Caenorhabditis elegans: one gene and its partner. The protein of the gene in region 1 purifies or fractionates together with the protein of each later gene. This does not show direct contact. Each region holds a gene or a part of one and is shown in the gene's direction. Other genes may lie near its edges.

What was found.
Region 2: the proteins of sma-6 (region 1) and dbl-1 purify together in Caenorhabditis elegans (affinity purification with western blotting, with the first as the bait; one study listed by BioGRID). This does not show direct contact.

What each region holds. Positions count from the first base shown.
Region 1 is NC_003280.10:6,322,586-6,327,966, forward strand, and holds sma-6 (Serine/threonine-protein kinase receptor sma-6), read left to right. Parts: upstream 1-1,898; 5' UTR 1,899-1,903; coding exon 1,904-2,043; intron 2,044-2,090; coding exon 2,091-2,241; intron 2,242-2,459; coding exon 2,460-2,549; intron 2,550-2,594; coding exon 2,595-2,706; intron 2,707-2,750; coding exon 2,751-2,906; intron 2,907-2,948; coding exon 2,949-3,042; intron 3,043-3,131; coding exon 3,132-3,212; intron 3,213-3,257; coding exon 3,258-3,394; intron 3,395-3,441; coding exon 3,442-3,745; intron 3,746-3,821; coding exon 3,822-3,993; intron 3,994-4,036; coding exon 4,037-4,435; intron 4,436-4,480; coding exon 4,481-4,555; 3' UTR 4,556-4,770; downstream 4,771-5,381. Other genes in the region: C32D5.4 (uncharacterized protein), read right to left, coding at 1-494.
Region 2 is NC_003283.11:6,756,399-6,761,143, forward strand, and holds dbl-1 (Protein dbl-1), read left to right. Parts: upstream 1-1,736; 5' UTR 1,737-1,886; coding exon 1,887-2,174; intron 2,175-2,224; coding exon 2,225-2,323; intron 2,324-2,412; coding exon 2,413-2,484; intron 2,485-2,532; coding exon 2,533-2,823; intron 2,824-2,872; coding exon 2,873-2,978; intron 2,979-3,056; coding exon 3,057-3,172; intron 3,173-3,363; coding exon 3,364-3,434; intron 3,435-3,486; coding exon 3,487-3,541; 3' UTR 3,542-4,020; downstream 4,021-4,745. Other genes in the region: T25F10.4 (Neur_chan_LBD domain-containing protein), read right to left, coding at 4,044-4,140, 4,184-4,254, 4,469-4,544, 4,586-4,745. UniProt on the Caenorhabditis elegans protein: Ligand for the serine/threonine-protein kinase receptor type-1 sma-6 which activates a TGF-beta-like signaling pathway. Multifunctional protein that is involved in body size, male ectodermal patterning, innate immunity, lipid metabolism and neural plasticity.

The sequences.
Region 1 (5,381 bases):
ATGCGTTGTTCTCCATTGTCACCAGTTGTGATGGGCAAAAGGCCAGCAAATGAGAGTCTGAGACCAGTCCGATCGTGCACAACAAATGGTGTATTGGTTGTGGACATGTGCGTCAAGAGACGTTTCATTTCATTCGGATTTTCTCGCATTTCGGCTTCTTCCGGCGGTGTAGTCATCACTTCGAAATCGTCTTCTTTGCATTTTAACATACTGCGTACGATGTTAATTTTTGATGAAAACGAAATAATCAAAAACTGATTTATTTTTTTCCAATCGTCAATATTTTTTCGTTTTGAAGTTCTTAGTTGGAATGTCACGGAATGAAATAGTGTGGCAGTAAAAATAATATTAGTTTCAAAACAATTCCCTTGCGTATTATTTATTGTCAGGAAAAAATATACATCATGAATCTTTTCCCATTCTTGTTGCCTTGGAGATTTCATTATTTTGTCGTCTTTTTTGGACTTCAATTTTATATTCTTGTTCCAGTACATTACATGTTTATATTCATAATGTGAGAACTTTTAAGCTTCATTGTGTTAAGCTGTAGTTTCAGAACTTTTTATACTTTCGCTTTTTGAAGCTTTCGGCAACCTTTGCCGGGACTGAACTTTCCAAAAACTCATAGAATCCTATAAAGTGTTTTTTTATTCTAAAACACTGGCACTGGTAATTAACTTAAGTATTCAAAACATTAGTTTCATTTTTTCTAAAATTTCTAGAAGCCCAGTATTGTGAATAAACTAAAGTGCCCTCAAAACGTATCATACTATTACAAAATTGATATTTCCGATAAGTGCTCAGAACTCTTTAAAAAATAATATTTGTCGAGTCCCCAGTAAACTATTAATATTTTATAAGTTGGGAACAACAAAGAAGGAAATGTAGAATCAGATTTTCATTGTCAAATAAATATCATTTTTGAATGACCAAAACTCAAAGCTTGTTTCAGATTTTTCAATATTTTCAGTTTTGGCAAATTTCCAAATTTTTAAATACTTCGGAATTCTTGCAAATTTTTGAGCTCTTCTTTGATCAAAAGTAGGATTATTGGTCGACTTTCAAAATTATGATAGGCGAAGCAATATTGTAACTTGTTATTTTGTTACTTTCCCTATTATGATTATTTTCCCCTGTGTTTGCCAAATTTTCCAAAAAAGTAAATTTTTAAGAAATTTCAAACGGTAAACCCCTACAACATTTGAATACAAAAAAATAAAACTCGTAGATTTTTTTTTGCCGACTTCTAGTTCTTCACTAATTTGTGACTATACATAAAAAATTTCAGTTTTTTTTGGTGTTACTATGGTATTGGGACATTTTTGCACTATAAGCATGGTTTCATGATATTTTCTTACTGACGATTTTAATTGTAGTACTATAAAAATTTGTCGTGCCCTTCCGAATCTTGTATTCATCCGGTGCCCAAAAATCGCTAAACTTCAAACGATAGAAACAATGAATAGATATTGAAAAAAAGAAACACCTGGTGCAACCCTCTTTTACATAAATCTAATCCATCTATTTTTCTCAGAAAAATGGCGCCACGCCATTTAATGACCCCGTCATTTTATGGGGTGGCGCGACAGAAAGGCGCCGCACTTCTACCTATTCTCCGGTCATACATATATCCATTTTGGCGCAACTTTTCCGTTCAGATCATTAGTATCATTAGGCGGACAAGTTGTCAAAAAGAACATTAAGTGAATGATGAGATAGTTAAGAGAGATAGTGTACTGATAGAAGAGGCCGTAGATTGAAATATTGTACGAAACGGAGAGGAAACTCGGCAAACAGTCTTTTCATCTCTACCTCTGTCTTTACTCGTTCTATTTTCATGTTTTTCGCAACTGACTTCATTAACAATATATTTTAATCAATTTATTTGCAAATTTCAGATTTAATGAACATCACCTTTATATTTATTCTCATTTTCGGATTTTTCAATACTCAAAAATGCTCAAAAGACTATGATCACTTTGACGATGAAGACTTAGCGTTGAGCATTCCAAAAAATGCAATAGGAGTTCCAAAGGAGTTCAGGTACATGAGTTTTTATATTTTATCAAAAATTCAGTTTTTCTTATCAGGCAACAAGTTTTAAAAGAGATGAAGCTTCGGAACAGACCCAATGATATTTTGAAAAATCGATGTTATTGCAATTATGATCAGTCGATATGTGGAAATAATATGACATGTGTGAAACAAGATGGAGCTGCTTGTTATCATGCCGTTGAAGAGGTAAAATTAACTTGTAGCTCTTGAAAGTTTCCGTTTTATTTTTTGGAATATTTTTACACCATGGAGGTTAGCAACATATGATCTAGGCGTTACCAGTTTTTTAATGAATGGATTTTTCTCATTTCTTGAAACTGACAAATTATAATAATTTTTTTTTTTTGAAAAATCGATGTTATTGCAATTATGATTATTTTCAAAATTATAAAAATAAATTTTAGGTTTATAACAAAGCTGAAAAACGAATGGAAACTCTTCATAAATGGGGATGTGCAACACTGGAAAGAGGAAGTGGAGCTTCACATTTGACGGTGTTTCATCGAGTTTTTTGAAATATTTCACCAGGTGTTTTTCAGTGTAATTCTTGGAGAGCAGCTCACCATTCTCCTAAAAGTATTGGTTGTTGCTATGAAGGTAACTATTGCAATAAGAATTTGATTCCGCCGGCATATGTTCATCATCACAAGGGTGAGTTTTTTTTTAATTTAAATTTTTTAACAGGGACTATTCAGAGAAAGCACTTCAAGAGAAAACTGACAATCCAGAAGACTATGATTCTCCACTGGAAAACATGACACGTGGAGGAAAAATGTTCATAATGGTATTTGCAACAGTCATGTCGGTTTTTGCAGTCATTGGATGTATTTATTTATGTATTACAAGAGCAGGTGAGACAGTTTTTAAATTACTAAATTGATATTTTGTTTCAGAAGAAAAATCTAAAGCCAGAGCCAGAGCCAAGACGGTGTCTCTGAAAACAGAATCAACATACATGGAGAGCAAATCAATGCTCGAAGACTCAGGGTTCGTTTTTATTTCCTAGAGTATTTGCGATATAGAGATATCATACCCATTATTTTGAAAGTGATGTTTTTAACAAATACAATTTTCAGAAGTGGTTCTGGGCAGGCTGCGTTGATCCAAAGGACAGTGAGACAAGATTTAACAATTATTAAAACAATTGGACAGGGAAGGTAAAATTAATTCTTATTTTAATCTTTGTTGCCTATATTTTTTAGATATGGAGAAGTTCGCAAAGCTCTGTATCGTGGAAGTTACGTGGCTGTAAAAACATTCTACACAACTGATGAAGATTCATGGAAAAATGAAAGAGATGTATATCAAACTAACATGATCAATCATGAAAATATCCTTCGTAAGCTATTTCAGTAAAATTACTTTGAATTTCAAGAATTGTTTCAGAATTCGTGGCGGCTGATATTTGGAGTGAGGAAGATTCAATGACAAAGATGCTTCTTATCACTGATTATCATGAACTGGGATCTTTATCAGATTATCTTTGCCGTGAAGAAACATTGACAACAGATGAAGCTCTTCGACTTATTCACAGTTGTATATGTGGTATTGAACATCTACATGCAGCTGTACACGGAACTGGAAGCTTTAGAAAACCTGAAATTGCACATCGAGATATTAAATCAAAGAATATTATAGTCAAACGACCAAATGTGTGTTGTATCGCTGATTTGGGTTTGGCACTACGATAGTGAGTTATTTCAAATGATGCATCTGAAAACCAAAGATTTAGTTGTTCTGAAATTTAGAAAGAATAATGTTTTCAGTCAAAACGACAAAATTCTCCCTGAAAAATTCAATGTTCAAGTTGGAACAAAACGATATATGGCTCCAGAACTGATATCAAACAAGTTGAATCCAAAAGATTTTTCTCAGTTCAAGATGGCAGATATCTACTCAATGGCACTTGTTATGTGGGAAGTTGCAATCAGGGTTGAGGTATGATTATTCAATGAGTTTAAAATAAAGGCCATGATTGTAGGTAAACACCTGTGAGGAAGTGTTAACTGTCGATGAGACCTCTCCTGATCACAGTGCATCAAGTGGTATCGGAGAGTCAGTTAGTTCATCTGGTAATATATCGAGAATGCATCTACAAAAAACAAATGTAGAAGGACATTCTACATCTCTGAAAGCAAAACAACATGTCCCACCATTCGATGGAATCGTGCACAATGATCCCAATTTTGACGAGATGAACGATGTAATTTGTGTACGTCGAATACGTCCACCACCGGATCTTGCCTGGAAAAACGTCCCAGCACTTAATGAATTGAGCAAGTTGATGGAAGACAGTTGGCATTCAATTCCACACTTCCGACATTCTGCTCTTAAATTGAAAAAAGAAATGGCTGAGTTGATCAAAAACCCCGACAGACAGGTAATTCAACACGTTAAGGAGCTATATCTAACTCTATGTTTTCAGAATCAATCGCAGCGTAAAGTTGAATTCCAACAGCAAGACAGTGGCCTTGTTGAGTCAGCCACCAATCAATCTTAACCCACTTTCTGATCTTACTTTCGTTGTACCAAAATTTTTGGCTTCTTTAAAATCAATTTTACTTTTTCAGTTTTGTTCATATTTCCACAACGGTCAAAATTTAAAGCGATCTCTCTAATAATTTCCCATCAATTTTTTAATTGTGCAACTCTTATGAACTTGTTCTCATCTCGATTTACTGCAATTTTTGTGAATAAACATTGTTCCAGACCTGTACGTTCGTGTTGTAATTATGCGACATTATTGTCCATCATTGCCTAATATTTCCTTGATAGATTGCCGATAAGACAAATTCTTAACTTGCGCTCCCTGTGGCAGAAGACGGAGCAAACAAAATTATCAGCTCAACCATGTTTAAATGTACGTTTATTATCTCTCTATCTGAATCTATCTGGATTGGTGTGCACTGCATTTGTGAGCAAATATAGGCATACTTGTACGTGGTTTGATAAGATAATACTGCACCGTTAGACAACTCTTTTGGGTGAAACAAAAGGGAGACAACTGCAAGTTGCATCAGTTGGAACAATGAAACATTAATTCGTTAAAACACAAAGCACATCTGATATCATTTTCACAATTTATTTCGTTTATCACATATTTTAGAAGATCATCCTTTTGTAAAGTTAAAAGTGGATTCATGATATTTTAATTTTGACAAATCTCGACTAGAAAATTTTTAAGGATATCAAATATTTCAAGAAATTTCTGCACTGCAAGTTACGGCAAAATGTCCATCTGTCTGGATTTATTTTGTAGGTGAATCACTTGACTGTAGAAATCGAATATGATGCATGCAACTAAGTCTTTATTTCACAAAGCTTTT
Region 2 (4,745 bases), on another chromosome or scaffold:
CTCCCCAAAAAATATTGTCAGTAGTTGCTGGAACTTTTGCAAGAAATCTGTATAAAATTTTTTTTGAATACAGATAATTTTCCTGGAATTTTTGATAACATTTTTTCTTAGATTTTTCTTAGATGCTGTCAAGACCTAAAACTGAGTTTAAATTATATCAAAGTTTCAGAACTCAGAGCTTCAGAAAAATTTAGGTAACACCCCTCAACGTTGATGAGCATGTTAATTTTTGTAGACTTTTAAAATGTCTTTTTTATTACCCTGGAATCGGATAACGGTTTTTAGCAACCTGAATCCTACAATACTTGCTAACCTGGTTTAGAAAACAAATTTGGAAATGCTGTAGATTTCCTATCATTTTTATGAACTCAGACAATTTTTTTGTCGTGAAATTTTGCAAATTAATTGGAAAATTGAAATGAGCGAAATTGAATTACAAACATTTACGTTTCTATAATTCCCAGTAGCCTCCTTGATTACCATACTGTTTGCCAAATCTTGCAGACCTTCCAGTTTTCTCACGCTCACTTCCCTCATCTCACTTTTTTCTGTAATGTCCGTCTTTGGGGTCTTCTTGCAAATGTTTACCAACCAAAATCTGCAACTCAAAGCTTTCCCAAGCTCGGTGCCGACGAGTGTTAAAGGGGGCAACCTTGCACAATCCCTCGGGATCAATTCATCATTAGTGCTCTGGAACTTTTTTACTCGGGTTGAGCAGCAGCAGCAGCGCAAAACTTATCATAACCAAAAACGCCTTCTTTTTTTGAGCGCACCGCCCGCAGCCTCCCCCTCTGTGCCGAATTGTTGCGATTTGTGTATATGTGTCGAAAATATGAGAAGAATGTTCCCAAAATAGATGGCGTCTACAATATGCCAACGGTTCTGCTCAGGCTCTAAATCGCTGCCAATTTTCAATTGATTTCCATCTTTAGTTTCACCAACTGTGTCTATACATTGAAATTCGATTCTCTCATTTCATTCTTCTCAATCCTTTACATTATGTTGCATTTTTCTTCCTCTTTTTCTGAAAGTGGAGCTATTGTTTTTCACACCCACTCGATGAATCTGGTGGGTGTTCCTCTCCTCCCCCTCAACGTCACATTTATATGTCATTTTTTGAGCTTTTTTAAGCAACAGTGGTAGTAAGTTGACAAGAGGCATTTCGAAAACCCGTCTTTTGCATTTTTGGATTTATGAACTTTTTTGTTCTTCTCGTCCTTTCATCAGTCTGCAAAACAAGTCTAGATGTCTGAACGCAGTTCTTGGAAACAATTTTAATCTTATTTTCATACTGGTTGCTTGACTAGATCCAAGTACAGCTAGAATTCATTGTTTATTGCATTATGTTTCTAAAGTTTAAAAATATACCAAAGTTCTAGGATTGTAACATTTCAAGTTTCAACCATTCCTTAATTGTAGCTTGATTCGTAGTAGAAATTAGTGGCATTTTTTAATGAGTTTAAAAAATACTTTGAAACTTTGAAAAAAAAACTGTCTATTAGAGGACATTCAATAATTATTTTTAAAAAATGTGATACCGTCTTTCTCTATTACACTTGCATCCTTTTTTTTTACACGGAAAATCTTTAAAAACATCTGGAACATTTTTCTTTTAAATTTTCTACAAATTTATTTTATAATTTACAGAATTATAATGTTTTCTTTGGGTTCTATTACTCTCTGTCATTGTATCTCAAATCATTGTATCTTTAAAAAAAAATAGTCCGACTTTTCAGCCTGATTATGCGCTAAACAAGAGGAGAGTCGTCATCGGCGAGCCCCCCGCAAATAGAAGTCCTTGTCCTGTCCCGTTTCCCTTTTTGTCCAATCTGTTTCCACATTCCCTACGATATGTCCAGTGGCTGCCTGATGCGCCCAACTCAACTATGAACGACTCTGTGCGGACAACTACAACGATTTCAAGCACAAAATCCCTTGTTCACAGCTTCCAACTGTCCGCCATTCTCCACCTCTTCCTCCTCATCTCCTTCACACCAATGTCTGCTGCTGCCGATCAACACGCGTCCCACGCTACCCGACGCGGTTTGCTTCGGAAGTTGGGACTCGAGCACGTACCTGTGCAGACTGGTCCGAGCATTGATGTTCCACAACACATGTGGGATATTTATGACGATGATAATGATGTCGACTGGGTCAGACACTATTATCCGAAGGTGAGATTTTAGATTTAGCTTATACCCAAATACCAAGACTTAAATTTCAGGAGATTATTGAAGATAACGAAGGGTTCTTGTTGTCTTATAACCTCTCATTGGCTGCTCGAAATGCTCACAATGAAGAAGTGACTAAGGCTACTTTGAAAGTGAGTTTTTCTCAATTCTGTTTTTTTTTTCGAAAATGTTATTCTTATGCTCATTTGAACACCTTCCATCTGTAACTTGCCACTTTCAGCTCCGGTTACGACGCAACAACAAAGCGAGGAGGTCCGGCAATATTAGTATTTATTTTTTTGAAGATGATATAGTATGTAAATCATTTAGCATTTTTTTTTCTCACAATATGAAACTACAGAACAATGATCGATTTCAAATCGAATCTCGATCCGTCGACAACCTTACCGAATGGATCGATTTTGATGTGACCGCCGCTTTTTTGCGGCGAACAAATCGTATCAGTTTCTTCATCGATTTGCCGGAAGATGTGGAGATCGAAGAGACACAGAGCAGCTCACTGAGCTCATTGCCCTACGCGCGGGCTCAGAGTGCTCCGCTTATTGTGTTCAGTGACCTGTCCGAACCGTCCAGTGTGCGGCGGAAACGGAGTGCACAAACAGGCAACAGCGAACGAAAAAATCGAAAAAAGGTTTGTGATTTCTTAAAAGTAGAAAAATTGTTAATCAATTCTATTGTAGGGTAGAAAGCATCATAACACCGAGGCCGAGAGCAATCTTTGTCGGAGGACTGATTTCTACGTGGATTTTGATGATTTAAATTGGCAAGACTGGATTATGGCACCCAGTGAGTATTTTAATTGTTGTTTTAAAGTAGAATTAAAGATAATTAGAAGAAAAATTGAGAAATCGTATCAAATTTCAGAGGGCTACGATGCTTATCAATGTCAAGGCTCTTGTCCAAATCCAATGCCAGCTCAGTTAAATGCAACTAATCACGCTATTATTCAATCACTTTTACACTCTTTGAGACCTGATGAAGTGAGTTTTTAGAAGGTTTTTATTGATTTAGATGATGTTATTCATATATTTTTTCTTGTTCGAAAAAAATATGAGACAAAAATAGGTTTGAGTTTTTCAATTTGTTCATGCCTAACAACTTATTTTGAGGTCATGTAGAAAACTAGAAAAGAAACGACAAAACTTATTCCTCACCCTAAAATATTTTTCAGGTACCGCCACCTTGCTGTGTGCCTACTGAAACGAGCCCTCTTTCGATTCTCTACATGGATGTAGATAAAGTGTAAGTTAATCGAAACACTTCATGTCTTATTACTTCAAGATCTATTTTTTAGAATAGTGATAAGAGAGTATGCCGACATGCGGGTTGAATCTTGCGGGTGCCGGTGATACCCGCTTCTATGTCGCCATCGTCGTCGCACATTACCACTTTTTGTCATCTCCTTGTTTTTCCCTACCATTCATTTTCTTTACTAACTCCTTATTTTTTGGTGCAATGTGTCACGGGTCCTCATTTCTCACCTTCAACCGTTTTTCCTCTTGTTATTCTTGTCTTCGATTCACATTTTCCTTTTCTTCCCCGATGTTTGTCCATGTTTCTGTGATTCCTTCCTAATGTTCCTTTTCTCCTATTTTTTCCAAACCAAGAGCTCTTATGAAGACGGACAGTTTCTTTTCTTGTTTTCTCTAATTCTCTTCTTCCAAAAAATCTATCTCTCTTTTTCTTCTCACTCTCATCATTTTTCACTCGATTAGAATTGAATGTTCAAAACAACAAAACAAATTCAAAATATTTGATCTCATAGTTTTTGTGTCTGTATGCACTGATCCTTTTTTGTTTCTTTTTTAAATGAACATTTTGGTATTTGATTTTAATATTTTACTTAATTTTTTATTGGTAGAAAGTTGAAAATAGTACAAAATTAATTATTTGGAGAACTATGAACGCAAGAATTTCAAACCGACGGTAGGCGTTTAGCCACAGCTTTCTGAAAATTAAAATTAAAAAAAACAGTTACTTCGAATACCCACCGTCTCCATTCTGCAGAAGAATGCAAATTCAGAACTTCATTGAATGTAGACATTGTAAATTTTACTTCAGCCTGAAAAAATACCAAGAGAATTGTCATTTCAAAAGAAACACTATCATGATCACAGTATTTTCTTTTTTAGTATGGCACGCCACAACTTTACTTTAAAACGTTAAATCTCGGTTCATTTTGTAGATATCAAGAAACTTATAAATGCAAACTAATGAAAAATAAATGAAAAATGATTATCGTTTACAATTCTTTAATAGAGCAAACAACAACTCACCAAGCACATATCAAAGTTTGCAATTCTCGGACTTCGCATAGACTCGGCTCTTGCAGAATCCAATGCAGCATTACATCTGAAATTGTGACTTTCTAGAAATCTTCAAAAATTTCTTACTTTGATCTCTCTGTATCTAGACTAAATTGATCACTTGGCGATGGAAATAGTGGTGGAGTTGGATCAGATTCGATCGGACAGCACCTCAAGTGAAAAATAAAAAACGGAAGTAGTTGGTGAAGAATTTCAATGAAAACCTCCAGTAAAAGCAGTGTCATTA